Linked DNA regions of Cricetulus griseus. The protein of the gene in region 5 purifies or fractionates together with the protein of the main gene of each other region. This does not show direct contact. Links are inferred from orthologs where the notes say so. Each region holds a gene or a part of one and is shown on either strand. Other genes may lie near its edges.

Evidence for each region.
Region 1: the proteins of Ep300 (region 5) and Alyref purify together in Homo sapiens (affinity purification with mass spectrometry, with the first as the bait; 3 studies listed by BioGRID). This does not show direct contact. The link is inferred for Cricetulus griseus from reciprocal best matches to the Homo sapiens genes EP300 and ALYREF.
Region 2: the proteins of Ep300 (region 5) and Ctbp2 purify together in Homo sapiens (affinity purification with mass spectrometry; 5 studies listed by BioGRID and IntAct, with this or other methods). This does not show direct contact. The link is inferred for Cricetulus griseus from reciprocal best matches to the Homo sapiens genes EP300 and CTBP2.
Region 3: the proteins of Ep300 (region 5) and Atf2 purify together in Homo sapiens (affinity purification with mass spectrometry; 3 studies listed by BioGRID and IntAct, with this or other methods). This does not show direct contact. The link is inferred for Cricetulus griseus from reciprocal best matches to the Homo sapiens genes EP300 and ATF2.
Region 4: the proteins of Ep300 (region 5) and Mcm4 purify together in Homo sapiens (affinity purification with mass spectrometry; 3 studies listed by BioGRID and IntAct, with this or other methods). This does not show direct contact. The link is inferred for Cricetulus griseus from reciprocal best matches to the Homo sapiens genes EP300 and MCM4.
Region 6: the proteins of Ep300 (region 5) and Taf15 purify together in Homo sapiens (affinity purification with mass spectrometry; 3 studies listed by BioGRID and IntAct, with this or other methods). This does not show direct contact. The link is inferred for Cricetulus griseus from reciprocal best matches to the Homo sapiens genes EP300 and TAF15.
Region 7: the proteins of Ep300 (region 5) and Smarcc2 purify together in Homo sapiens (affinity purification with mass spectrometry; 3 studies listed by BioGRID, with this or other methods). This does not show direct contact. The link is inferred for Cricetulus griseus from reciprocal best matches to the Homo sapiens genes EP300 and SMARCC2.

Annotation. Positions count from the first base shown.
Region 1 is NC_048600.1:133,091,013-133,095,270, reverse strand, and holds the start of Alyref (THO complex subunit 4), read left to right. Parts: upstream 1-1,458; 5' UTR 1,459-1,496; coding exon 1,497-1,730; intron 1,731-2,053; coding exon 2,054-2,185; intron 2,186-3,493; coding exon 3,494-3,641; intron 3,642-4,234; coding exon 4,235-4,258. Other genes in the region: Anapc11 (anaphase-promoting complex subunit 11), read right to left, coding at 605-713. UniProt on the Homo sapiens protein: Functions as an mRNA export adapter; component of the transcription/export (TREX) complex which is thought to couple mRNA transcription, processing and nuclear export, and specifically associates with spliced mRNA and not with unspliced pre-mRNA.
Region 2 is NC_048596.1:67,839,129-67,842,628, forward strand, and holds part of Ctbp2 (C-terminal-binding protein 2), read left to right. Parts: intron 1-1,178; coding exon 1,179-1,333; intron 1,334-1,561; coding exon 1,562-1,706; intron 1,707-3,500. UniProt on the Homo sapiens protein: Corepressor targeting diverse transcription regulators. Functions in brown adipose tissue (BAT) differentiation. Isoform 2 probably acts as a scaffold for specialized synapses.
Region 3 is NC_048599.1:101,241,183-101,245,238, forward strand, and holds the start of Atf2 (cyclic AMP-dependent transcription factor ATF-2), read left to right. Parts: upstream 1-1,256; 5' UTR 1,257-1,422; intron 1,423-4,056. UniProt on the Homo sapiens protein: Transcriptional activator which regulates the transcription of various genes, including those involved in anti-apoptosis, cell growth, and DNA damage response.
Region 4 is NC_048597.1:73,869,819-73,873,645, forward strand, and holds the end of Mcm4 (DNA replication licensing factor MCM4), read left to right. Parts: intron 1-157; coding exon 158-365; intron 366-1,347; coding exon 1,348-1,576; intron 1,577-2,010; coding exon 2,011-2,144; intron 2,145-2,810; coding exon 2,811-2,903; 3' UTR 2,904-3,327; downstream 3,328-3,827. UniProt on the Homo sapiens protein: Acts as a component of the MCM2-7 complex (MCM complex) which is the replicative helicase essential for 'once per cell cycle' DNA replication initiation and elongation in eukaryotic cells.
Region 5 is NC_048595.1:378,772,865-378,776,364, forward strand, and holds part of Ep300 (histone acetyltransferase p300), read left to right. Parts: intron 1-245; coding exon 246-674; intron 675-1,651; coding exon 1,652-1,831; intron 1,832-1,967; coding exon 1,968-2,112; intron 2,113-3,500. UniProt on the Homo sapiens protein: Functions as a histone acetyltransferase and regulates transcription via chromatin remodeling. Acetylates all four core histones in nucleosomes. Histone acetylation gives an epigenetic tag for transcriptional activation.
Region 6 is NC_048600.1:96,720,414-96,724,461, reverse strand, and holds the start of Taf15 (TATA-binding protein-associated factor 2N), read right to left. Parts: upstream 2,801-4,048; 5' UTR 2,660-2,800; coding exon 2,653-2,659; intron 1-2,652. UniProt on the Homo sapiens protein: RNA and ssDNA-binding protein that may play specific roles during transcription initiation at distinct promoters. Binds to ssRNA containing the consensus sequence 5'-AGGUAA-3'. Can enter the preinitiation complex together with the RNA polymerase II (Pol II).
Region 7 is NW_023276806.1:129,411,630-129,415,129, reverse strand, and holds part of Smarcc2 (SWI/SNF complex subunit SMARCC2), read left to right. Parts: coding exon 1-50; intron 51-736; coding exon 737-829; intron 830-1,076; coding exon 1,077-1,196; intron 1,197-1,283; coding exon 1,284-1,346; intron 1,347-1,627; coding exon 1,628-1,886; intron 1,887-2,108; coding exon 2,109-2,270; intron 2,271-2,543; coding exon 2,544-2,608; intron 2,609-3,013; coding exon 3,014-3,155; intron 3,156-3,243; coding exon 3,244-3,410; intron 3,411-3,500. UniProt on the Homo sapiens protein: Involved in transcriptional activation and repression of select genes by chromatin remodeling (alteration of DNA-nucleosome topology).

The DNA.
Region 1 (4,258 bases), on a different chromosome or scaffold from region 5:
CATCAACTTAAAGTATGGAAACTGCTGTCTGAACTTCAGTGTGCTGGGCAGGGGTATCCTCATTTGTTCTGCTTTGCTTGGAGAAAATTCAAACTGGAAGTAGCATTTTGAGGAATTAAGAGAATGACCAATCATCACAATGTATCCCAGGCAAGCTTCAAACTCAAGCCTCCTCTTGCCTCTGTCTGTGCCACCATGCCTTGGCAAAAACAAAAGTGTTGTTTTTGTTTATTTGCTTTTCTTTGTTTTTACAGACAGACTCTCATTATGTAGCCTCCAACTCAGAGGCTACCTGTTTCTGCTCCCAAATGCTGGTATTACAGATGTTTGCCACCATGCTGGATAGGGTCTTTATACAAAAGTGAGTTTGAAGAATTCGTTTATTTTCTGTCAACTTTCCTTCAGGAAATGGAAAGTAAAACCCACGGTTTTATTTTCTGGTTTTCTTAGTTTTTCGAGACAGGGTTTCTCAGCGTAGCCCTAGCTGTCCTGGAATCTCGGAGATCCTCCTGCCTCTGCCTCCCTAGTGCTGGGAAACCCAAGGTTTTCAAGGCTGGTGGAGCTGGCCGAAGTTCTGAGAGCACGGGGGAGGGGGGGCACTTACAGTCTGGACAGCAGCCATTAAACGCCATCCTGCAGATGCCACAGTTCTCATCGTTGGCTACCCAGAGCCACGTGGCCACACCATTCCAGCACTTAATCTTCACCTTCATGGCAGCAGAGCGTGCGACCTGAGGGAAGAGGGTTTCCTGGCTAAAGTTACTCTGTATTACTACCACAGACGGCACTTGAGCATTTAAGGCGGGGAGCTGCGTGCTAGGCGCCTCCAGGGAGCCAGGCTCCCAAGTTGTTTTGCTATGTTGAAGGTCGTTTTTAGAGCTGTGCACCCAGGTAGCGGGCCAGGCTGGCTCACGCCTTTAACCTCAGCGCCGCGGAGGCAGATCCGCCCAAAACCAAAGGAGGAAAACAAAAACAAAAACCACTGCATCCATGAAAAACACCTCGGTTTTCACTCACAACCCGCGCGTGACAAGCCATCAGCTTGCTAAATTTAAATAAAATTAAATTTTAAAAAACCATCCCTTCGAGCCCACAAACCCCAAATCGGATCCACAGATCGGCCCCCCGCCTCGCAGCTCAGGGACTCGGCGGGCGGACGGACCGAACTCGATCCGGCGCCTTCCGGCCTGCGCAGGGCGGATCCCAGGCCAGGCCCCGCCCACGCCTCGCCCACTCCACCTAATCTCGCGGCGCCCCGCCCTTCCGTTGCAGGAGCGCGGGAGGTATAAAAACGACCGCGCCGCGCCGGGCGCCACACACTCGCGCGGGCCGTCCTCCTGAGCGCAGCGCAGGCGCCCTCCGCTCTCCGCGCGCGCCGAGGCCAATCAGGGGCAGCTTCGGGGGCCGCGACGCCGGAAGACCAGGGGAAGCTCCGGAAGTGACCTAGCGACGTGCTGACGCGCGGGCTCGATCTGAGGCCCGATTCCGCGCCCGCCATGGCCGACAAAATGGACATGTCTTTGGACGATATTATCAAGCTGAACCGGAGCCAGCGAGGCGGCCGCGGCGGAGGCAGGGGCCGTGGCAGGGCCGGCGCCCAGGGCGGCCGCGGCGGGGCGGTGCAGGCGGCCGCGCGGGTGAACCGAGGCGGCGGGCCTCTGAGGAACCGGCCCGCCATCTCTCGCGGCGCCGCCGCCGGCGGCAGGAACCGGCCGGCTCCTTACAGCAGGGTGAGCACGGGAGGCGCGGCGCCGGCGGGGCGGGCTCCCGGCGCCCTGAGGCGGGCGGGCGGGCGTCCTGCGGGAACCGCGGGAACGGAACGGAACGGAGGGTGGGCGGGGGCGACGCCGCGCGGTGAGCGAGGCCCCGGTCACAGGCCGGGATCTTCCGGGACGCTTTGTCCGGTCCGGTCCCGCCTCGTGGCGGCGGAGCGGCGGGCGTGGGGGTCGTCTCCTCCGGGCTCTCGGGCCGCCGTGAGAGAGAGAGTGTGAGTGCCGGGGAGGGATCGGGGCGCCCGAGACGAGGTCGCTCACGAACCTCTCTTTCCCTTCAGCCGAAACAACTTCCAGACAAATGGCAGCACGATCTGTTCGACAGCGGCTTCGGGGGTGGAGCCGGCGTGGAGACCGGCGGAAAACTGTTGGTGTCAAACCTTGACTTTGGAGTGTCAGACGCAGATATTCAGGTAAGAGACCAGAGCCGTCCGCATGCTTATCCCCACACACAGAATCCCTTCTGATCAGAGCCTGTGCTCCCCCAGGCTGCCCAAGGGCCAGCCGCTGCCCTCACAAAAAGTAGTATCCCCTGGGGTTTGAATGTGACTGATAGGTCAGGCTGCTTGGAAGGCAGCCTGGTGTGCCCCCAGAGTGGCTCTTGTCTGCTAACGTCACGAGCACCTGCCGTCTGCAAGGCTTACAGTTTCTAACGGGCACAGACTGGCCACAAGTCCGGTCCCTGTGTGACCGAGGGTGCTAGCTTCTCAGGCTTTGTGCCTGTAGTAGTAAGCTTATGAGAAGGAAAACTCTCCCCACCCCCACATGTCTGAAGGCACAGGGGTGAATGGTGGCTGTGTGTCTTCCAGACTGACCTTTCCTGGGTCTTACCAGGGGCATTGTTCTCATACCTTTGGTTGAAGTCTTTTTTTCTGTCTGTCTGTCTGTCTGTCTGTCTGTCTCTCTCTCCCCCCCCCCCCATCTCTATCCTCTCTCCCTCTCTCTGTCTTTCTTCTGGCCCTCAAATGCAATTAGAGTTAACAGAGCAGGTTTTTAGGAGTTAGTTTTGGGTCATGGGTGCTGGGCCTTTCTGGGTTCCCTTTCTCAGAGCCCCGCCATTTGGCCTTGTCAGGGAGCATAGAGCAAGGCCAGTGAGCACTCACAGTGTCTCCACACTTTTTTTAAGGTGGTTTCTGGCATCCACTGGAAACCGCTTTTGGTGAACTTCACTTCCCGCTGTGTGCCTGCGGCCGAAGTAGCCCCACACTCTGGGTTCCCTCTCCAACTCCCAGCCTGCCTGAGGTCAGGGCAGTCTCCATGGCGCATTTGACTTCAGACTTTGCAGCAGGCTTGAGTAGGAGGAGAGGGAAAGGTGAGCCAGAATCTGCCTTTGGGGGAGGGGCTTGGGTCACAGCTCCCCAAATCAGTGGGCCCTTTGAGCTGTCTGCTCTATGAACAGCTTCCCTTGGTTTTTCTCTTGGCCTTTGCTATCTGATGAAACAGCCATTAGTCAGGTTGTGAGTGCCCTTGCTGAGAGAGAGGTAGTTTCTGTGTGCTTCCTTCACCTGCATCATGGTACAGTCACACACGTCCCAACGTGGACAGGAACCCAGGTGCTCAAAGTGACACCCTTCCCTCACCTCTTGATTGCCTCTGCCCCGCCCCTTTTCTGGGTGGTGGTCAGTAAAGTAGCACCCAGGAACCCTCACAGCTACTGAACTGAGCCTCTAGAGGGAAAACAGCTTAACTGCTTGGCTAACAGTTGCCCTGTCCACTTCCAGGAACTCTTCGCAGAGTTTGGAACGTTGAAGAAAGCAGCCGTGCACTACGATCGCTCTGGCCGAAGTTTAGGGACAGCAGATGTGCACTTTGAACGGAAGGCAGATGCCCTGAAGGCTATGAAACAGTACAATGGTGTCCCTTTAGATGGTGAGTATATGGGGCTGGGCCCAGGATGCCTGGGGCTTACGGAGTTTGGGGCTGGCACCTCTCCCTGTAGGAATATGGGCTGCCCCTGTGGCTGAGGACACTTTGCATTTGCCCCTTTGTCTCTCTCTTCCATTCTGCCACCTCTCATGCTGCCCCACACATCTGGACCAACCTCTTGTGAACCCCCATCCAGCAAGCTACATCCCTCCCCTCCTTCAGCTCCTTCCGGAAGATTCACTTCTGTGAAGCCTTCTCAGAACCGCCATAGTACAACCTGAGTGCGGGGCTGTAGTCGTAAAGACAAAGGTACCTGTTCTTCTTCCGTCAGGCTACCCACACCTGTCCACCCATGAGCACCCTGGACACCTGACCAAACAGCCCTCTTAGCCTGAACTGAGAAGGAGTGAGGAGGTGTTGGTGGGGTGTTATTGCCACTTTATTTTCCCACCAGGCTCTCTAGGCCTTGTACCTTGTTGGGGGCATTGGAGACACACAAAGGCCCTTTCTAGAGCTTGCATGGAGACCAGGGTGTGGTGCCTTCTGGGTCAGCTTCAGAGCCTCTGGAGTGAGACTTGTTGTATTCTTTACCATAGGCCGTCCCATGAACATTCAACTCG
Region 2 (3,500 bases), on a different chromosome or scaffold from region 5:
CTGCCAGACGCTCAACCCATGTTCTTAGACTCTGGCCGTTTTGCACGCTCCCTTAGTAAAAAGAAGGCAGGGTGGCATCAGAACCTCACATACCTCAGCTGCTCATCTGGTTAGCAAGCAGTGCTCTGTAGCTGATTGACAGGATGAATACATCAACAACTGTGTGATGTCACTGTCACCTCACCTTCTGTGACAGCAGCCACCTCCAGGGACCTCACCTGGACCTACTGGGGATAGTGAGGCTTTCTTTTCTTTTCTTTTTTTCCGAGATAGGGTTTCTCTGTGGCTTTGGAGGCTGTCCTGGAACAACTAGCTCTTGTAGACCAGGCTGGTCTCAAACTCACAGAGATCCACCTGCCTCTGCCTCCCTAGTGCTGGGATTAAAGGTGTGCGCTACCAACACCCGGCTGAGGCTTTGTTTTCTTATAGGACCAACCTGTCAGTTACCTGAGCCATGGGCCAGTGAGGACTTGGGGTGTACCCTGCTGCTCACTACCTTGCCATTGCCAGTATGAAAGGATTTTAGAACTTGGGGCACGACCACTCAGGCAGGTGGCAGGTGAATGCTGGGAATGCTATAATATCAGGGTCTGGCTGCCATTCAGTCAGATTCCCTTTCAACACAGCTTGTTCCCGTAAGACCAGGACAAAGACATTCTCTCTACTCTGGGCTCACTGTCTGCCCTGACTGCCAGTATGGTGTGAGGATGTCTCTGCATGCAGTGAGAGGGTGCCAGAGGGAGATGGACACAGCTCTCGGGTCTGTGTATGTTCACATGTGAAATCATAGGACAACTTGCAGGGGTCAGTTCTCTCCTGCACTGTGGGAGTCAGTTACCCTGAAGCCATGCGGCTTGGTGGCAAGTGCCTTTACCCATTGAGCCATCTCACTGGACCAGAGTTTTACTTTATGGGGCAATTCAAGTGAGCTATACAATTGCCCCTCTGGGTCTTAGAGCGAAGTGAGTTCATACCAGAACTCTGCACTTACCCTCCAGTGATCTAGGAACATCACTACCCCTCACTCCCTGCTGCCGCCCCCCCCCCCCCCGTTAGCTGGTAAAGCTGTGTCATGTCCTTGGCTCCACCAGACTTGTGTGCTCTCTGCTTGCCTTGGCATCAGCCACTGAGGACACCCTCCCTACAGTGTACTTACCACACATTTCTTCTCCTTATAGGTATCCGCCCTCAGATCATGAACGGCCCCCTGCATCCCCGCCCCCTAGTGGCACTGCTCGACGGCAGAGACTGTACCGTGGAAATGCCCATCCTGAAGGATCTGGCCACTGTGGCCTTCTGTGATGCACAGTCTACTCAGGAAATCCATGAAAAGGTGGGTTGCACCCCACCTTACCTGGGCCCCTCCAGGCCAGCTGATGTCAGTAAGCACAGTAGTCACACACAGGAATGCCTAAAGTGTATGGAATTCCCGATGTCCTTAGCCTACTCTGCCACCCTCAGGCACTTACTCCATGTCTCCATCCTATAATTTCTGCTAACAAAGTCTCAGAGCCTTGTGTTCCCAGGGGTTCTGACCTGTGACTCATGTCCCTGCCCACAGGTGTTGAATGAGGCTGTGGGTGCCATGATGTACCACACTATCACCCTCACCAGGGAAGACCTGGAGAAGTTCAAGGCTCTTCGTGTGATCGTGAGAATTGGCAGTGGCTATGACAACGTGGACATCAAGGCTGCTGGTGAGCTCGGTGAGTCGAAAGGCCATGCTGGCTGCCTGGAGGCCACACTCAGTAATGGGCAGAACGCAGAAGGCAGGGCAGTTGTCCTAGGGAGTCTTGTTTCCATTTTCCCATGCACCTTTGCCCAGCCTCAGCTCGAAGCAGGTTCAGGGGCTGGAAGATCTTGAGATAAGCAGTAGATTAGTGAGTTCTTCATTGAGCACACCAAAAGAAGCTGGCCACCACCTGCTGTCCATTCCCAGGGTGCTTCTCAGAGAAAACCACAGGCGGGTAGAAAGCTAAGCAGGAAGGTAGAGTACCTGAGTGGCACAGGGGACTCCTGCCCACACCCCCATGAGAATTGGTGTACACTGGCAGCAGAGCCTGGGGGGGTCAGTGGGGAGTGCCTCAGAGCCACGTATTTTGTCTGAATAAAGTGTGCCGCCTCTTTATTCATGAGCCTCATGCATTTGAAATACCTCAGAATAACTAGAAACCCATGTACCGATGGTGCCACAGCAGCCTGAGCATAGTAATGCTCGTACCATCAGCCTGGGCCTACCACCTGCTGCTGCCTCACCCCAAGGGCTCCTGGAACTAACTCCTAGGACAGCAAAGCCAGGTGTGCGCAGTGCCTCACAGTCATCTCTGCACCGGGCCTAACGCTAGACTCGACAGCTCTGTCTATAACCCAGACACACCCGCCATGCTGGCCACTGAAGCAGCACTGGATCCAACTTCCCTTCACAGTCTGAGCCTGCAGCTTTGAGAGGGGTGGGTGCCTGTTTTTAGTTTTCTGTTTCTTTGCATTTAGAGCAGCAGTTACTATGAGCCTGAACCCCAGGATAAGAAAAGGACAAAGGAAGCTGTGCCGGGTGGCACCAGCCAATGCCCACAGTATGTCTGTGGGGCAACCTCACAGGGGAAGGTAGACATCTCATGTAAAGCAGAATCAGTCCTATTCAGCCCGGGCTTTTGAGAGTCCTGGGTAATCATGGCTTCCTATGTCCCTACCCTAAGCAGCCTTGTTCTTTTCCAGTTACAGCCCCTCTGAGCCCCTCTTTGGCAACAGAAGAAACTTGTTGTGATTGATGTGAGGCCACGTACCTGAGTTTAATTGAGAAAACTACCTGGTGCGGTGTTATACACCTGTTATCCAGGGAGGTCTCTTGAGTTTGAGGCCACCCTGGTCTGCATAGCAAGTTTGAGCCTAGCCTTAGCTACTTAGACCCTGTCTCAGAAAAAGAAAGAAAAGAAAAAAGATGTTTCCCAGACACGAGCAAGTATGCTTGTGTTTAAAAATATGTATCTGAGCCTGAAGGAAGTGGCCACACACCTTTAATCTCAGTACTCTGGGAGGCAGAGGCAGGTAGATCTCTGAGTTCAAGGCCAGCTTGGCCAATGGAGTTAATTCCAGGCCAGGGCTGTTACATAGAGAAACCCTGTCTAGAAAAAAAGCAAACAAAAGACGTGTGTCTGTCAGGAATAGAGATAAATTCCCTGAGTTGGGACTATGCAGGAAGACATTCAGCTTTCTAGCCCATTGTCTCTCACACATAGTTCCTGTTGGTAGTCAGCCCCTCTTCTCCAGTCAGAGTCCAAGAAACAGACTGCCTAGGGCCAGAGCGTTGAAAAGTGTAAAGGGGACACGAAGTGTCACTATTGTGGCCCATTGTGATTGGAGTGGCTATTCAGAAGACTTCTGCTAATGAAATAGATGGTCCTCCAGCAGTGTCTGTCATTTAGCTCTAAGTACATATGGTGCCTATCAAGTCAGCCAGCAGACCCTTTGGAGAGTAGTAAGACGAGTGGCAGGTGTGCCCT
Region 3 (4,056 bases), on a different chromosome or scaffold from region 5:
AATAATCTTTTTTCTTGTCTCCAGTTTAAGGACTTAATACTTTATGTGTATGAGTGTTTGGTAGCTTGAACACATGTGCATCACATGTTCACCTAGGTCAGAAGAGGTTGCTGGATCCCCGTGTTTTTGAGCAGCCATGTGGATGAGGGGCATCCGAGCCTGAGTTCTTGCTGCAAGAGCTCCTAACCACTGCACCATCTCTGGAGGTTCTTACCCTCAGTTCTTTAAAAGCTATTTCCAAACATTAACTGGCATTTCTTTGGCACTTCAATTTACAAATCTAAAGAAAAATATTGTGGGAAAAGTGCCACTTCTATGCTGTGTTCTCATTGGTATCTTTTAGTCCTCTTTAAAACGTTAATAACGATTTCTTAAGCTTCAAAATACTGAAGCCATCCTGCTGAAATTAGTATTTTTACCTGTAACGAAGTAAAGGAAATGTAATGAAAGAGAACACACCATAATTTCTAAAAATATTTCTCCATTGTCTTAAAATATGGTGACATGGTGGAAGACGTATTTCCTTTCAACATACTCATAATGTACAATGGGCTTGATGCGGGGTGGGGGCGAAGAATCAGCTCCATTTCGAGCTTAGTAAATTCTGAACAAAGACCTCTCTGAGAAAATGCCTCTCCTAGACAGGGCTGACATAGTTTGCTTCTGACCACACACTGGGGCGGGGGTGATGACTAGCAAACCCCCGAGTCTCCCAAACCAAGCGCAGTTCCCCAGCTCCAGCTTCCGGGTAGCCGGAGGGTGGTCCAGGAGCTCGTCTCTCTTCGCGTTCCCACATCCCTAGTGAGGCCGGAAACCGACACATCGGAGTCGTCGGAGCTCCGGGCTGAGTTCCTTTAGCCTCTCCAGACCTCACCTTCCTTCTCTGATACCGCCCACGCCCTAGCCTCTCCCTCCACCATCACCTGCGCGCGCGCCCGAGATCCCGCGCCCACCTCCCTCTGGTTGCCAATCACAGCTTTCCGCAGTTCCCTGGTTACCGAAACAACGGTCCTTGGCTTTTGGTCACGCCCCTTGGAACTGCTTCCCGCCTTTCGTGCTCTTCGTCCAATCACTAGCGTCCGAGTGCTCTTTGGTTCCCGCCTCCCCGTCCCCGCCCTCCCGAAGGCCCGCCCTCTTCCTTAAGCACGACTGCGTCACCTGACCCGTAGGCGCTCCCTTGGTAGAAAGCAGGAAGGAGCGTGTGCGTGAAGGGGAGGGGCGCGAGAAGAAAGCGGCGGGGATGCCGGGAGTGGGGCGGGGAGAAGGCTTGTCAGTCGGATCTCGCGAGAGAGGACGGAAGCCTGTGGGAGCCCGTGGCCTTTAAAGTCGATTCAGCCCTTTCCTCCGGGGCTAGTTTGTAAACACGGCTGGGCTCCGGGCTCCCGGGTGGATGAAAGGACCATGAATTAGTGACCTGGAAAGGTGAGTAGTGGTGAAAGGGCCGCAGTCTCGGAGGCTGTAGGGGTTCAGAGGAAGAAGGCGCTAACATGGCGACGTCTCAGCCTGTAGTCCCCACCCCCCGCCTCCCACCCCTTTGGCGCCCCTGCCGCGGACCCCAACCCTCCGGACGGCTGTGGCCGTCCGCGCCAACGCCTCTGGCCTGGCGGACCCACCGGACCGTTAGGTAACGCGGCTGCAGCGTCGGCCCCTCCCTCGCGCGCTTTCCCAAGCCCCAGCGAAAAGGAATAACGGCTCCTCTCAGACCCCTCCCTCCGATTTACCATCCCCTTGTGTGGTCACTTGAGAGGTCCCCGGGCGCTCTTCGGATCCGCCCAGCTGACGGGGAGACCCCCGCCTCAAGTCCTTGATCGCGCCGCAAGAGGGTCCACGCTGGGCTCTCCATCCAGGACTCTAACGGTTGAGGACCACGGACGGGGTTTGGGATGGATGGTGCGGTGGAGGAGGATTGGAAAGCGTGGCTAAAAATCTAGCCGGGGTCCCTGGCTCCCGTGGAACGTGATGGAGCCAATGGTATGGAGAGCCTGGGAGCTGGAGTTCTCGGCCTTTTCTGTCCATTCTGCCACCCGCACTCCCGCCACCCCCCACTTTTCCCAGGTGGGGCGGGGCTGAGGTGTGGATGCAGGTTGATTCTGCTATTTCCCCCCATTTTTTTTTTTTTTTAACCTCGACGGGTACAGGTGTTTTACAGAGCTTCTGTAGGGAAATATCTGTTCCTTTTATCAATCAATATACTAGGGACAAGGGAGAAAGAATTGTGTTTTTTTGGTGTGTGTGTGTGTGTGTGTCTCTGCCTGCCTGTGCCTGTGCCTATGCCTGTCTCTGTGTCTCCGTAGTGCTTGTTCATTGAACCAGATCTCGGAGGACTGGGACTATTTTTATGCATCTAGGTAATATAAAATTGTCTCCTCTTAATGGGGAGTCTTAAAACTGAGGAGGCCGAGTAAAACTACCGTCAATATAATGGAGTAAAAGAGATTGCTTATGATAAACCCTTAGGCCTGTTCCCTAATGCCTATATTACCTTGTGGAAGTCCCAGTTTCTTAGGGATTACAAATTATAGATACATTCACACCACATGCATGTAATGGTATATTAGAAATCAGACCAAACGGTGACTGTTCTCTGAGTTCACTTTTTCCTGTTGGAAGAAATTCTTAACCACTGGAATTGCCATTGTCAGTAATAACCGTCTCAGGGATACTCCTTCAGAGCCAAATGGCCTTGGTCTATTGCACCAAAATTGGAAGGTAAGACTATAAAAGACTATTTTAAAACAAATTTAGGTAATTTCCTGAAATAGAGACACAGTAGGAATCTTATATTTAGATTTGCTAAACCTACTTGAAGAATCCCCTGCAATGAACTTTTTCCAAATGTATAGGAATATTTTGTAGAGTATGGGAGTATGCTAAAAATGTATCCTGTAAAAGCAAACTAAGTTCATGGACTTTTTCTTTTCTTTTCTTTCTTTCTTTCTTTCTTTCTTTCTTTCTTTTTTTTTTTTTTTTTTTTTTTGGGCCTTTCAAGCCAGAGTTTCTCTGTGTAGTAGCCCTGGCTGGCTGTCCTGGAACTTACTGTGCCTCACTGGCCTCAAATTCACAGAGATCCACCTACCTCTGCCTCCAGAGTGCTGGGATTCAAGGTGTGAACCACCATAGCCTGCAAAGATTCGTGGATGTTGAAGGCCATCAATAGTCAAGTTATAATTAAGCTTCTAGGTCATAAAGATAATTTTTCAAAAAAATCTTTCAAATTCAGTGTGTATGCTGTCCTCCTAAGCTGTCTTTCAGTGCTCATTTAGAACTTGATTCTTTGTATCTTTGGGGGGTGGGGGTCAGAGGCGTTTAACCCTAACTGCCCCAGAACTCACTTTGTAAACCAGAATTTAGAAATCCTCCTGCCTCTGCCTCCTAAATGCTGGGATTAGAGGTGTGAGAATCCACACCAGGCAGTTCTTTTCAGGGGCATTTTAGTTTTGATATAAGGTACTAAAAACTTCCTGTAGATTACCTGGAAATCCCTTTAACATTACTAAGTTCTTTATTTTGTATTTGGAGCATTATATTATCAAATGTGTTACCTAGAAATTCTTACATTGGTTATTTATTTGGAGGAGTGCTGTTAGAGTAAGATAGTGGTAGAACTGGTTATTCTTTAACAAATTATTGGAGGGTGCTTTGGGGTTTTAAAATTTTAAAGCTGTATTGTTTTGAAATTACATCATCCATTAAATATCTCCTGAGTAACATTAAATCAAGAAATCTAGTTTTATCTCTACTTTTAAAAAATCTTGAAAACTTGAGTTCTAATTATTTATCTGTACTCCCCTAATCAATTATGTTACTCAGTCTGGTAAGCAGCTCTACCATACATGCTGTTTCCATTCATTTTTGCCTTTGGTGTCTTTCTTCCTATATGATACGTGTCTGAACTGGTATTACTTTCTTTTGTTACTCTTATTGAAATGCCCTTAGAAAGGTAATTAACTCTTTTGTATTCAAACCAAAAATTTTTACTGCAACCTTCCTTGATTAGAAATCAATGTAATTGGATAATTCAGCTGACCCCTCTGAAAACTAATACAGATAGTTCTT
Region 4 (3,827 bases), on a different chromosome or scaffold from region 5:
ACCAGGCAGGACTGAGGATTGGTCAGTTGGTGACGAGGCAGCCCTCTGTGGGCATGTATACAGTATAGTTGATTAGTGGTTTAAACACATTTAAATCCTATATATAGGTATGTTGGTGTCTCAACTAGAAAGACAGTATTTTTCTCTGTCTTGTCAGGTTTGATCTTATTTTCCTCATGCTGGACCCTCAGGATGAGGCATATGACCGGCGTCTGGCTCATCACCTGGTTTCACTGTACTACCAAAGTGAGGAGCAAGTAGAGGAGGAGTTCCTGGACATGGCAGTGCTGAAGGACTACATAGCATATGCACATAGTACCATCACGCCCCGACTGAGTGAGGAGGCCAGCCAGGCTCTCATTGAGGTAACCGGGCTTAAGAAACAGTTTACAACTCTGGATGAGTTAGCTGTTTCTCTTAACTTATTTGTTTGTTTTTTTAAAAAAAGTAAAGACAAAGGTAATTTAGATTCACACAAACTTTTACAAGATGCACAGGGATATGCTAGGGCTTGTTTGGGCTTAGTATTGTGATACGGTAGGTACTTTGGTGAGTTTATATCCTAGCTGGGTTCAAAAAGGCTCAATTAAGGTTACAGATAATATATGATTTTTCCATTTGTATCATGAAATAAATGAAACTACATGCAAAATGAATTAATCCTCTTTGGAGCATAATATCCTAAGTCATCTTTTACAAACCTTGTAAAATGGGTCTCATGGGCAGTTTGCCAGGCCTTTTCTGTTCTGTCCTGTCCTTTCCTTTTTTTTCCTTGGTGTTTTTTGAGACAGGGTTTCTCTGTGAAACAGATCTGACTGGCCTGGAACTTACAGAAATCCACTTGCCTCTGCCTCCCAAGTGCTGGGATTAAAGGCGTGCACCACCACCGCCCAGCTGCCAAGCCTTTCCTTACAGACTCTCTGATTCCTTTCCTATGGCACTGTTTCCTTTGGGGGGGGGGGTAATCTGTGAGTCTGTGTTTGGTACTAGGGATTATACCCATGAACATCTAGGCATGCATTCTTCTAAATTATACTACCAACCTTTTAATGTCTCTTCTTCATGTCTACCTGTACAGATGTTTCCAAAAGTCTTCCTCTCAAATATTTCTGACATCACCATACATGGATGTAACTAACCATCCTCTTGGTTTCTGGGTTTCTGTTTGTGTGTGTAAGGCTCCAACCAACTTCCCACAGTCTAGCTCCAATTTGTAATTCCCTAGAGTAACACTGCAGGCAGACAGGCCATCAGTTATTTAACAGAACCCTAAGTATGCAAGGTCATCCATGAAACATGAGGTTCTTGTCAGCAATGGCTTAATTTTGTTGTTTCTATCTTCTCTAGGCCTATGTGAACATGAGGAAGATTGGTAGTAGCCGGGGAATGGTTTCTGCTTACCCCCGACAGTTAGAGTCATTAATTCGATTAGCAGAAGCCCATGCTAAAGTAAGATTTTCAGACAAAGTTGAAGCAATTGATGTGGAAGAGGCAAAACGCCTTCACCGGGAGGCTCTAAAGCAGTCTGCTACTGACCCTCGCACTGGCATTGTGGATATATCTATTCTTACTACAGGTTTGTTACTCGCTTTGAACAAAATGACATAAAATCGAAAGGTATTCTGTCTGTAACCTATTAAAATCCATTTCAAGGGAGAGTGAGGCATGTACATTTGCCCTTTTTAGTCCCAGTTATGCAGAAGGCTCACTTGGGGTCAGAAATACTAGGCAAACTGAGGCAGCACATAGTAAGGCCCTGTCTCAAAATAAAAAGAATTTGATCTCCTAAGTATGAGTATCCTTGCTGCACAGCTTATGTCAGCTTTCAATGACAACTATTGATGTGTAAAATAATTGAAATAACAAAAACTAATATTCTTGAATGTGCTCTGGCATTTAGCTGTTCTCCTACCTTTCTTGGCAATACCTCTGAAGGAATGTTTGTGGGAATTCTGTAACATTTCACTTCCATATGGCAGAAATATTTCATTTGATTTCTTTTTGACATAGGGATGAGTGCCACTTCTCGTAAAAGAAAAGAAGAATTAGCAGAAGCATTGAGGAAACTTATTTTATCTAAGGGTAAAACACCAGCTTTAAAGTACCAACAACTATTTGAGGATATTCGGGGACAGTCTGACACAGTAAGTGTTTATATATGTGTAAGTAATGTAAGTCAGAATAAGATTTCCTCTTCTATAAACACATCATCAAGAAATACACAACTAAAACTGTAGCATACTTGTTCGGGTTTAGATTTGTTTCAGAGATGAAATATTTGTATGGCCTTTTGCAATTAATTAAAGATGGATTGTCAGTGAAAAGTACTGTGTGGATTGAAGTGATGAATATGCTTGGTTTTGCTTTGTTTTGTTTTTATAACACTTCTTCACTTGCCCTTGTCTGCATTGCATGATGAAGGCAGAGCTTAGAGAAAACATTGGTTACCTGGTCCTTTGAAGAAATATTTGCTATCCCTGATTTACAGCATAAAACAAAATATGTACAAGTGGGGTTGGTGAGATGGCTCAATGGGTAAAGGATGTGTCTGCCGCTAAGCCTGATGACCTAAATTCTAGTCCTGGGACCCATGTTGTAGAAGGAAGGAACTGACTTTGGCAAGTTGTCCTTTGACCTCCACTCATACACCAACCCACACACACACAGGAACACAAAATAAATATGTATATGAAATGTAATTTAGCAAAATGAATTGTCTACAACCACCAAAAAAAAAAAAAAGACCCAGTTGTAGTTTAACATATGTATGTCTAACAAGAAGGACTCAATGTGTGACGTTTTGTTTCTAGGCAATTACCAAAGATATGTTTGAAGAAGCCCTGCGTGCATTGGCAGATGATGACTTCTTAACGGTGACTGGGAAAACTGTACGCTTGCTCTGAGCCATCAGTTGCTGCTGTTGTTGATGCAAATAGTCTGAAAGGCAATGCTCTGCTACATTTTTCTGTCCCTCATTGTATATTTTAGTACATGTATGTTTTCACATTTTAACATCAACATACACAGTAGAGATTACTGTCTTGATATGCCACTTAATTTTCAGCACCTATTTGTACACAGTTTTAGAGAAGGTTTTTTAATAGGGGGCTTTGCTTTTGTTGTTGCACTACTGGAGATGAAGTTAAGACTGCCATGCCTACTATATATGCAAGCTATGGCCCCGGTGTATGGAGAATTTTGTGGTTAGAGGTAACAGATGGCCAGGATAAAACCTTAGTTGTGATGTGATGATGGGCTAGATTCCAAATTGGCTTCTACTTTTTCTTAATAATGTAAAACTTTCCTAAATAAATGATAGAAAAAGTAGTACTTGGTTGTTAAATGTCCCGCACGCTGTATGTTCTCGCCGGCAAGAAATACACGTAGGACACTCGGATCCTTCTGCAGACAAGCTTTAATGCATCTTGAGAGGGAGAGAGCATAAGCTTACCAGAGCGGAGACTCTGAACTAAGAAACCCATTTCCTTAATAAAGGCTGGCAAGCAGCCGCCTGGGACGTGTTACCCTATGAATGGCTTCAGCTCCTCAGGCCAAATGAGCCACGGGATAGGCAGAGATCAAAGGAATGGAGATTACCCAGCGCCTGTAAAGTAATTTACATCTTGGTGTCTTCAGGCACCATTATTGTAATGGAGAATGCAGGAACCGGCTCCCTACAGTTAAACATTATTTCTCATTAACAACAGAACTCTGCTAAATACTATGTTCTTGGAGTCATAATGGTGCTTTTTAGGTTATAAAAGAAATAAGATGTAATGAATTTCATTGATTTCTTTAGATCCTTGGAATAATTATTCTCAAAACAA
Region 5 (3,500 bases):
AAAGGTACCCTCCTTTTTTCTTTGAAAACTATGATTGTGTCCAGGGCTGCACACTTAATTTTGTTCCTGGAGACAGAGACAGGTGGATGGATATCTGTTAGATCAAGGCTAGCCAGGTCTATGTAGTGAGACCCTCATCTCAGAAATAAAGAAGTTTGCTACTGTTATTTATTAATAACTACTGTGTGCTCTAAATACTACATGACCTGCTTTTGTTAATACTGTATGTTTTTTCATTTTACCAGGCACAAATGTCCAGTTCTTCCTGTCCAGTGAACTCTCCTATAATGCCTCCAGGGTCTCAAGGGAGCCATATTCACTGTTCCACTCTGCCTCAACAAGCTCATCAGAATTCGCCTTCTCCTGTTCCTAGTCGTACCCCTACTCCTCATCATACTCCCCCAAGCATAGGGACTCAGCAACCACCAGCAACAGCAATTCCAGCTCCTGTTCCTACACCTCCTGCCATACCACCTGGACCACAGCCCCAAGCTCTACACCCCCCATCTAGACAGACACCAACACCACCAACACATCTTCCTTCCCAAGTACAACCTTCAATTCCTGCTGCTCCTGCTGACCAGTCCCAGCAACAGCCTCGATCACAGCAGAGCACTGCAGCTCCTGTTCCTACCCCAACAGCACCACTGTTGCCACCTCAGCCTTCAACTCCAGTACGTAAGCAGATGTGTCTTGGAGTGTCCATAGGACCAGTTAAGCTCCAGTGATGTTTCTATACCATTTTTTCTTTCACTTTTGTTTCATCTTTGCTTGTTTTATTCATAGACTTGGGTGTTTGTTGCCTGTTTTTGCTTCCTTTGGTAGAGAAAGCTAGAAGATTTTGGTTAATTTTCACTGACCATTCTGTTTCAAATGATTATCTGAGGCCTGAAAGCTATAAGAGTTTTATCAATGCTTAGTGTAACACATACACATGTACTTGTTTAAAGATATTTTGAGGCAGAGGCAGTGAGATCTCTGAGTTTGGGGCCAGCATGGTCTAGAAAGCAAGTTCCATGGCAGCCAGAGTTATTACACAAAGAAACCCTGTCTCAAAAAACAAAGCAAGGAAAGAAGGGGGGCAGGGGTGAAACAGCTTAAGTTGCAGTGCTGAAAAATGAAAGTAAAGACCTATGTGGGGTACATCGATTTTACACACACACACACACACACACACACACACACACACACACACACGAGAGAGAGAGAGAGAGAGAGAGAGAGAGAGAGAGAGAGAGAGAGAGAGAGAACAAACTATAGGAGTTAGTTCTCTTCTGCCATTTAAATACCAGGGATCAAACTCGGTTGTCAGACTTGATAGCAGGTGCCTTTATGAATGAGCTATTACATAGTCCCTGATGTCATTTTTTTAATATTCTGAGCCTCTCTGATATAGTCAACTTTAGAACATCCACCCCTAAACACATAACAAAAAAGCTGGTAACTGTTTCAAGTAAAGCTAGCCAGCTAGCATTGGGAAGTCCCATATCATCCATTCTTAAAATGATCTTTGTGAGAGAAAACATAATAATAAAATGGGTTCAGTGAGAGTGCCCCAAATATAAATAGCCTTGTGTAATTTAAATTTAAATTCTGATTCCATGATTGGCAAGCTTTTGTGTATGTGTATGCTTTACCTTTTTCTCTCCAGCTTTCTCAGCCAACTGTAAGCATTGAAGGCCAGGTATCAAACCCTCCATCTACTAGTAGCACAGAAGTGAATTCTCAGACCATTCCCGAGAAGCAACCTTCACAGGAAGTAAAAATGGAGGTTAAAATGGAGGTGGATCAACCTGAACTAGCAGATGCTCAACCTGAAGATACTCAGGAGGTGAGACTAGAGCAATTAGGTTCTGCTATAAAAGGAAATTCATGTATGTCCATAATGGAGCGTAAATAAGGTGATAATGGTCTTGTTCCCAGGTGTAAGTCTTTGAATTTTTTAAAATTCCTGTCTTATATTTTAGGCTAAAGCTGAAGATGTTAAAGTGGAACCTACAGAAACAGAGGACAGAGGCACTGAGTTAAAACCTGAAACAAAAGAGGAGGAAGACCAGCCAAGTACCTCTGCTACGCAGTCCTCCCCAGCTCCTGGACAGTCAAAGAAGAAGAGTAAGTGAAGGCTGGGAAGATCATTCATTTGGTAAAATGCTTGCCCCATAAACAATAAACATCTGGATTTGTTTCCTAGCACTTGTATATATATCCCAATGCTTAGAAGGCAGAGGGAAATGAATCTCTGAATTCAAGGACAGCCTTGTGTACTACATAGCAAATTCCAGACAAGGCTGAGGTAGACAGTGAGACCTTGGGCATTTTGGCACACCTATAATCCAACCACTGGAAAAGTTAGAGGCAGGGGGATCACTGGAGCTTGCTGCCTAGTAAGTTGAGATCTTGGAAGGACATAGGGTTCTAGCAGAGGATAACAGAGAGTGGAGAGGGTCAAGAGTGCTGAACCGAGACTGAAGAGATGACTCAGGTTTAATTTCACGCACCCACATGGCAGCTGACAGCTGCCATAGTATACGACACCATCACACAGACATACATGGAGACCAAACACCAATGCACAAGAAATAAAAAAAATTATAAACAAAACAGTATTTAAAACTGTTCTTATAGAGGATCCAAATTCACTGACCAGCAGCCATATGGCAGCTTATAACCACCTGTAACTCTAGTTCCAGGGACCAAACACACTCTTCAATCTTCCTCAGGCTCCAGCACACACACACATTTTACATAATTTTAGGTAATAATACTAACACATCATACTAACACATAAGATGAAGTATCAAAAAATGTTTTGTTTTGGTTTTTTTGGGTTTTTTTTGTTTTTTTTTTTAAAAAAAGGTCATTGACCTCTGAACAAAAATACCCACCCAAGGTTGATCCTTGGTTTACAAACACAGGCTCATGCATGTATGTGCACACACATACACGTATACACATACACCAGCCGTGCTGGAAAGATAAGTGATAAGTCCTATAAATTGTCCTTTGTCCTCCATAAAATGCCTTGGCATATGGGCATTTGTACACAAATGCACAAAAGATAAATAAAAATGTAACTTAAAAATTTTGGTTAGGGGCTGGAGAGATGGCTCAAAGGTTAAGAGCACCGACTGCTTTTCCAAAGGTCCTGAGTTCAATTCCCAGCAACCACATGGTGCCATCCTCTATGAGATCTGGTGCCCTCTTCTGGTGTGCAGATATACATGGAAGCATAATGTTGTTAAATAAAATCTTTTAAAAAAATAAAAATAAAAATTATGGTCAGGTGGTGGTGGCTAGAACCTTTAGTCCCAGCACTCCCGGAGGCACATGTGGATCTCTGTGAGTTCGAGCCTGGTCTACAGAGCGAGTGCTAGGCTCCAAAGCTCTACAGAGAAACCCTGTCTTGAAAAACCCAAGGAGAGAGGGGTGGGGTAGATCAGGTCTCAATTCTAAATTGTTAAATATTGGTGTCATTAATAGAGCCCTGCCTTTGGTGATTG
Region 6 (4,048 bases), on a different chromosome or scaffold from region 5:
CTTTTAGGTTTTTAACCCTCAACATAAAAACATTTGTTCTAATCCAGTTTGTCATTTGACTCATTTTGACACCTGTTTCTGGTGTTCAATTTTTACCATGAACTCACCTCCGAAAGGTCTGGATTTCCTCAGATTCTTTGTGATCTATGTTGTGAAAATTCCTCCAGTTTTTCATGTTTTTAAATTGTTTTTTAAACCAGAAGCCCAAAGATGTTAATCAGCCCATATTTTTTTATTTTTATGTTAAATCATTTTAAGATTTCCTAAAGGCTAAATGAGTACCTAAAAGGAAGTAAGAGGTTCCAGGTTACAAATTCTAAGATTCTACTGTGTCTGAACTTCCTTGTCGGCTTACAATAGGATTTTTTTCCTCTGTTTATTTCTTCACTGAAGGACACAGTCCTTCAAATTTATAATCTGTAAGCCCAAGATTTATAAGGGTTTCAGTTTCCATTATCTGGCTAACAGTTTAAGGTTTCATCACCCATCCTTAGATAATAAAACCACTCTACACAAGACCTATACTTTCTGCAAGGTAATAGCCAAAAAAGATCTATGCATATCATACTGGCTTCTACTTCATTTTTACCATAAGCTTTCCCAAATGTTTGCCTATTTTTTTTTTGAGGTGAACGCAGAAGATACCTTGATCTGTCCTAAATGAGAAATAGCTTGACTTTATTTTATATGTAACTAATATTTTACTCGTGATTTTAATTCAAAAGCTCTGATAATTCACTTTTGCAAATAATTCTTTAATGTCAGACTGACAATAATTTTGACTTATTGACAAAATCCTATGTATGTATCTCTTTCCTCTGATGCAGGGGATCAAATCCTTAAGTTTTGTGCATGCTAAGCATTAATTCCAGCCCAAATGCTTATATTTTAATATGTCTGTATGTCTGACATGGCAAGTAGATTCAATTAAATTTCTAACTGTTTAAAGAATGTAACTTATTAATGATACTAGTTGCTTGGGAAGGAATTTATTCTGTTAAGTTTATTAATTTAAACATGCATTAAAAAACAAGTCAAAAGCATTACTTTTATACAAAAGTCAACGTAATTTATACACACATCGAAAAACATGTTACACTGTATATAACACTAAAAAGAACTTGAAAGATTTTAACTTATGCCTCTAAATTTAAATTTTCCATTGAAACTACAGTCCTATAAAAATGTCATTGTCTTATAGGAACAACTACATTAAAAAAACGAACAATTTGGGCAAGGTGCAGCAAGCCCGTAATCCCACTCAAGAGGCTACTTAAAGATGATGATTCAAACCCTGTCCAAATAATCCCACGAGTTTTTACTGAGCACAGCTTGCAATATATTTTGGTAATTTCTACATGAGGGTAGAATTTTAATTTTTTAAAGTCATGGTTAACCTACATATACCCTAAGGAAGCATTTGTACATATTCTTCTCACACACACACACACACACACACACACACACACACACACACACACACACACACTCTTGGTGGACTGGGGATACTTTTTTAAAAGGTTTGCCTATTAATAAAGGTGTAAAACTGGCGGGTATAGTAGTTCACACCTTTAATCCCAGCACTTGGGAGGCAGAGGCAGGCGGATCTGTGAGTTCAAAGCCAGCCTGGGTTACACATCGAGCTCCAGTTCAGCCAAGGATACATAATGAGACACTGTAAAACTTTGTACCAAAAGGCGTTTCCCTCGGAAGGAGAGTACAAACTACGCTGGCTTCTAAAATCAAGGGCATATCTGGGTCTGTCTTTGCCACCTGTAAATGTAGTCCAAAAATAAAGGACCTGCGTGATCAACTGGAACTGTTAGAATCAAGAGGACTTTTTCTAGTTTAACAGGCTCCAAACTTGCTGTTGTGGAGAGATAGATAAATGCCTCTATCAATATCACTTTGAGGAAGGCGCTGTCTTTCCTTTGGTCTCTCTGTTTAAGGAAAATGTCACGAAGACCTAAAAGTGCTCATTAGTCACTGTCAAGGCTCACTTTTAAGTTCAGGAGATTAACAAGCACAGGAGGGAGTACAAAGGTGAAGCCGAATACACAAACACCCCCAACCCCAATCAATCCCGGCGGTTTACAGCAGAGAAAATGACCTGTAAGTGCGATTACGCGTAAGGCAACGTGGGGCTCCCAGAGCTCAAGACCCCCACCTGATGAATAGGTAAGTCAGGAAGGCCCAGCTCCACTTCTCGGATGGGGGAACTGAGGAACGAGGCGGCGAGACGACCGGCAAGAGGCCTCGCTGAGAGATCTGAGGCGGAGCGGAGGACCAGAAGCCCCAGTCCTCAGGCTGATGCTCAGATCTCGGCTCCCCCCGCCCCTACGATGGTGTAGACGGGCCTCCGCCCCCCAACTCACACACCCCCTCCCCCGAGAGCTGCACATCTCCTCGGGTTCCAAGGGCAGGGTCAAAAGACAGGGCTCCAGAGCGCTCCCGCCGTGATTTGTAGCCAGAGAGCGTTGGGAGCGTGCGTGCCTCCAGTCCAACATGGCGGCGACGCGGCCGCCCCCCCCCCACCCGAGCCTCCCTCAGGCCGGAGGCTTTCCCTCGCCGCCCTCCGGTGCGCGGGAAGACGGCCCGAACACGCCGGACCCCTTCTCGCCGCTGCCGCTGCTCGCTGGAGGAGTCACCTACCCGACATGACTAACAGCCGCGGCGCGGAGCCCCCACGGCCCGCGGAGAACAAGGAAAACGAAAAGCCAGGCGGCGCGGCTGCCGGAGCAGTTCTGAGGGCGGCGCGGCAGGCTGAGACCGACTGCGGGACCTCGGCAGCCAATCAGCTCACGGCGGACGATACCACCGTGCCAAAGCCGGAGGGGTGGTTCTACTCCTCTCCAGTCCGCCGACTGCGGAGTCCCTCCCCGTTCCCCCCTCCGCGACGGTACCATTATTGAGAGGGAATTGAGAAAGGAAAGTACCAATGCCCTCGAGGGACTAGGGGAGGAAGCCGGGCCGGCTCGCTCCGCCCCATTTACAACCCCAGTTCTAATTTTATTGGGTCAGGTAGAATTTGAAGCTATAAAAGCGAGAGAGGAGGCTCCCCTTTCATAAGTAGGAACCATTGGCCTGGAAAACTAGTTTCTTCCTTTAAAATAGAGAATGGTGTGGCCGGCTTCGCTCCGGCTCTTGCTGCTGAGCTTGAACCACTTGGGGGCGTTCCGAGCCTGAGGAGCGCGCGGGACGAAAGTCGTGACGAGCTCGGTACCCGATCACCTCCAGGCTTGCTAAAACTGCCTTGTCCAGTAAAAATCAAGGTGAGACGAGGACAAAAATGTGAGTTCAGTCTAAATCACGCGCAAACCTGACTCCGGGAATAAGGTTGTGCAGGAGTCGAGCTTTCTCAACCCTAATAATAACCAGCTAATTGTCGGCATCTTACATCATTCCCACTACAGACTGATGAAATATTTCCCCCTGGTTGCGGATAAAGTCGTGTGGCTAATAAAGGGGTAAGGTGGAATTTGGAAGTCTAGTAACCCACCCTCAGTTGAGGGTGGGTTACCGTAAAGCTGTACAGTAAACTCACTTAGAGAAAGGGCTTGGAAAACTTAAAATAGAATCAGCGAGGACATTTTCCCGCAGTGAGTGACACCTGAACCAAAGCCTGCGTGATGAGTTAAGTTGAAGAAGGGGGCAAAAGATCTGTCCAAGCTACTTGTAGAACAAGTAACTTGATACGTTGGGAGCATAGCCTCCGGGGGAGAATACTAGAACATGCCAGAAAGGTAGGAGGCTAAATAGCTGAGGTCTTGTAGTTTGAACTTTATCCTGAAGGCGGTGGATCCACCCACAAAAGAACTTCAGAAGGGTGAGATCAGATAGGTATTTTCCAGCTGCAGAATGAAGAACAGGTTGGAGAGGAGAGATGCCTATTGTTTGTTGGGAGGGGAGAAGGGGGAGCTGAGAATATTGCTCAGTGATTAAATCCTGGCCTAGCATGCTTAAGTTGCTGGGTTCAATTCCTAGCACAGGTAATTTTTTTTTCAGCCAATCAAGCTGGCACACACCTATTAATCCCAGCACTCATGGG
Region 7 (3,500 bases), on a different chromosome or scaffold from region 5:
TGGCGGACACACCATCAGGGCTGGTGCCTCTTCAGCCCAAGACCCCACAGGTAGGGTGAGGGGTGCTGGGGACAAGGGTGTGTGGATAAGACAGGGCTTCTTTGGACTTTTCTTTTTCTGTTTACTTTTTTATTTTTATATTTTTTAGAGTAACGATTGAGGAGTGTGGTAGGGTTTCTTCTTTGAGCATGACTTGGAAGGGGGCCACAGGAATCAGCACATGTGTTTAGCACCTTCTTTTAGTCCCAATACCTAAGCTGTAAGCACTTGTTGAGTGAGTGAGAGAAGTTGCCCCTCATCCCAGGGAACAGACAGGCTAATGTAGGAGACAGAGCAGATAGAGAAGTCACTTGTGATAACTCAGATGAAGTTTTTATGCTTTGCCATGTTTCCCATATTTTTTTGCCTCATAAGTATTATCACCTTCATTTTTTCCCATTTCCATTTCATACATTATTTAAAAAGAGAAGAAAACATTGTGTGGATAACACAAAGATACCAACTGAATCTAGGATTAGGATCTACTGTCCAGCTCCTTAGAGTCTGTGACGATGCATGTGACTACAAATGTCTGTCATGCCAGCTACATGTCTAATTAATCATGGAGGCAGCATGGGACAGTGGCATGAGTGTCCCCAGAGCTTTTGGGCCGCCCAGCATTTGATCTTTAGGCCTCCAAGGCCTTGGCCTGGCCATTTCCTGCCCAGCTTCCATGACGCCAAGCTCTGTCCCCCAGGGCCGCCAGGTTGATGCTGATACCAAGGCTGGGCGGAAGGGCAAAGAGCTGGATGACCTGGCGCCAGAGACGGCTAAGGGCAAGCCAGAGCTGGTAGGTGGGGTGCAGACCCCCCTGGGCTGTTTATTTGCCCCTTCACTGGGGGACCCCTGCCTGGAAAGAAGAGAGCAGAGGAGCTGCAGCAGTAAGGGAGGAAGTCCCGCCCAGCCAGGCATCCCTTTCTCTCTCTCTCTCTCTCTCTCTCTCTCTCTCTCTCTCTCTCTCTCTCTCTCTCTCTCTCTGCTTCTGGCCCCTGTGGCCACTTATATTTACTTCTTTTTTTTCCTCCTTCCACAAATAGCAGAGCTCTGCTTCCCAACAAATGCTCAACTTTCCTGACAAAGGCAAAGAGAAACCAACAGACATGCAAAACTTTGGACTGCGCACAGACATGTACACAAAGAAGAGTGTCCCCTCCAAGGTATGAGGTGCAGCCAGCCTGGGCCTGACAGCCTTCACCCTACATAGCTTGGTTCCTCTATCCTGAGGCGCCTCTGTTTCCCTGCAGAGCAAAGCTGCAGCCAGCGCCACTCGGGAGTGGACAGAGCAGGAGACGCTGCTGCTCCTAGAGGTAACTGGGTAAAGCACGGAGTGCTGTCTCTGCTGAGGACAGAAGCGGCTGGGATGCCAGCCTGTGCGTGGGGAGTGCTCATGCAGCCTGGTGTCTGTCATTCCTGTCATACCAAATCCTTTCTTCGTGTGCTACTTGGAGATCCCCCTTGGGTCCAGCAGAATGCAGAAATCCCAGAACACCAAGGACTTTGAAGCCAGATGCCTTTAGTGGGATGGGGGGAGCTGACCTTCAAGGAAGTGGCGAAGTAAGCGGAGTTGTGTCTCCACCACTCCCACCAGGCTCTGGAAATGTACAAGGATGACTGGAACAAAGTGTCTGAACATGTGGGAAGCCGCACGCAGGATGAGTGCATCTTGCATTTTCTTCGCCTTCCCATTGAAGACCCATACCTGGAGGACTCAGAGGCCTCCCTAGGCCCTCTGGCCTACCAGCCCATCCCCTTCAGTCAGTCGGGAAACCCTGTTATGAGCACTGTTGCCTTCCTGGCCTCTGTCGTCGATCCCCGAGTTGCCTCTGCTGCTGCCAAGTCAGCCCTAGGTAATCTGGGGGAGGGGGGCTGGCCTTCTTAGTTTACTTTTACAAGGTTAGATGCTCACAGTGAAACCTCAAGTCTGGCTGCCCTGCTGGCCTTGTCTGTTGCTGCCTTAGGTCAGGCACCTGTCTAACTCCGTGTTGCTCTTAGAGGAAGCCGGGCTCATGAGAAAGCTTGCACAGGGGTGACCAGAACTGTCCCAGCCTCTCCCCCTCTGGGTCTTACAGAAGAGTTCTCCAGAATGAAGGAAGAGGTGCCCACAGCCCTGGTGGAAGCCCATGTGCGGAAAGTGGAAGAAGCAGCCAAGGTCACAGGCAAAGCAGACCCTGCCTTTGGTCTGGAAAGCAGCGGCATTGCGGGAACCACTGCTGATGAGCCTGAGCGCATTGGTGAGCAGGAGCTTTAGATTTCTTCCCATTCACCAAGAGCCAGATCTAGAGCCAGCTGGCCTCTCTGTGCCATGCCCATCCTGGCCTGGCTCCACCACAGCACAAGTGGGAGAGAAAATCCATGGAGTTATGTTTTCCTTCATGATGTCACCATAGGGAATCGGGCTTCCTTCTACTGGTCTTGTCCCTGAGGTTTCAGCTACTGGAAAATTGTCACATAGATGGGACTTCTCAGACTTTTTTTTCTTTTCTTTCCTTTCTCCATGGGTCCAGAGGAAAGCAGTACTGATGAGGCACGGGCAGAGGGCCAGACATCAGATGAGAAGAAGGAGCCTAAGGTACGGAGTGAGTGGCCTGGGTCTGGAAGAAGCTGTCCGTGGTGATCAGGGATCCAGGGGAAGGGTAGTCTCTTGAAGTCAGGGGTCACGGTGGGGCTGAGCAGATCGTTCAGTGGGTGAGAGTGCTTGTTCTACAAATGTGAATTAGAGTCCCTAACACCTATGTAAAAAGTTTGGCATTGTTTTACACGCCTGTAACCCCGTTGTAGGACCCCAATGGAGGGTGGACCTGGCTTAAGGCAGTAAGATACTCAGTGTCCTGCTCTGGCCTTGGCATGTACACACCCATACATGTGTGTGCAGCACATACTGTGCATGCACGCACAGAGATAAAGAGGTTGAGTCAGTCACTAGCCTGGGCCCCTGTGAGAACAGCATCCTCTGATGTCTTCCTTTCTTCTGGAGCTGCAGGAACCACGGGAAGGAGCGGGGGCTGCAGAGGAAGAAGCAAAGGAGGAAGCCAGTGAGGCTCCCAAGAAGGATGAGGAGAAAGGGAAAGAAGGGGACAGCGAGAAGGAGTCCGAGAAGAGCGATGCGGACCCAATAGGTAGCTGCTCAGCATGGCGCGTGCACACATGACAAGGGGGTGTGCCTGCCGTTAAAATAAGGCTAATTCTACCTCTGTCCTGGCACAGTTGATCCTGAGAAAGACAAGGAGCCAAAAGAAGGCCAGGAGGAAGTCGTGAAGGAAGTGGTGGAGTCAGAAGGCGAAAGGAAAACGAAGGTGGAGCGAGACATTGGTGAGGGCAACCTCTCCACAGCTGCTGCGGCTGCCCTGGCCGCCGCTGCAGTCAAAGCCAAGGTGAGGGCGGCTCTTGGAGAGGAAGCTGCTCACCTCTAACCTTCCCTTCTGCTCCTTTTCACTTTTACCCTAGATGAGTTAGTCATCTCT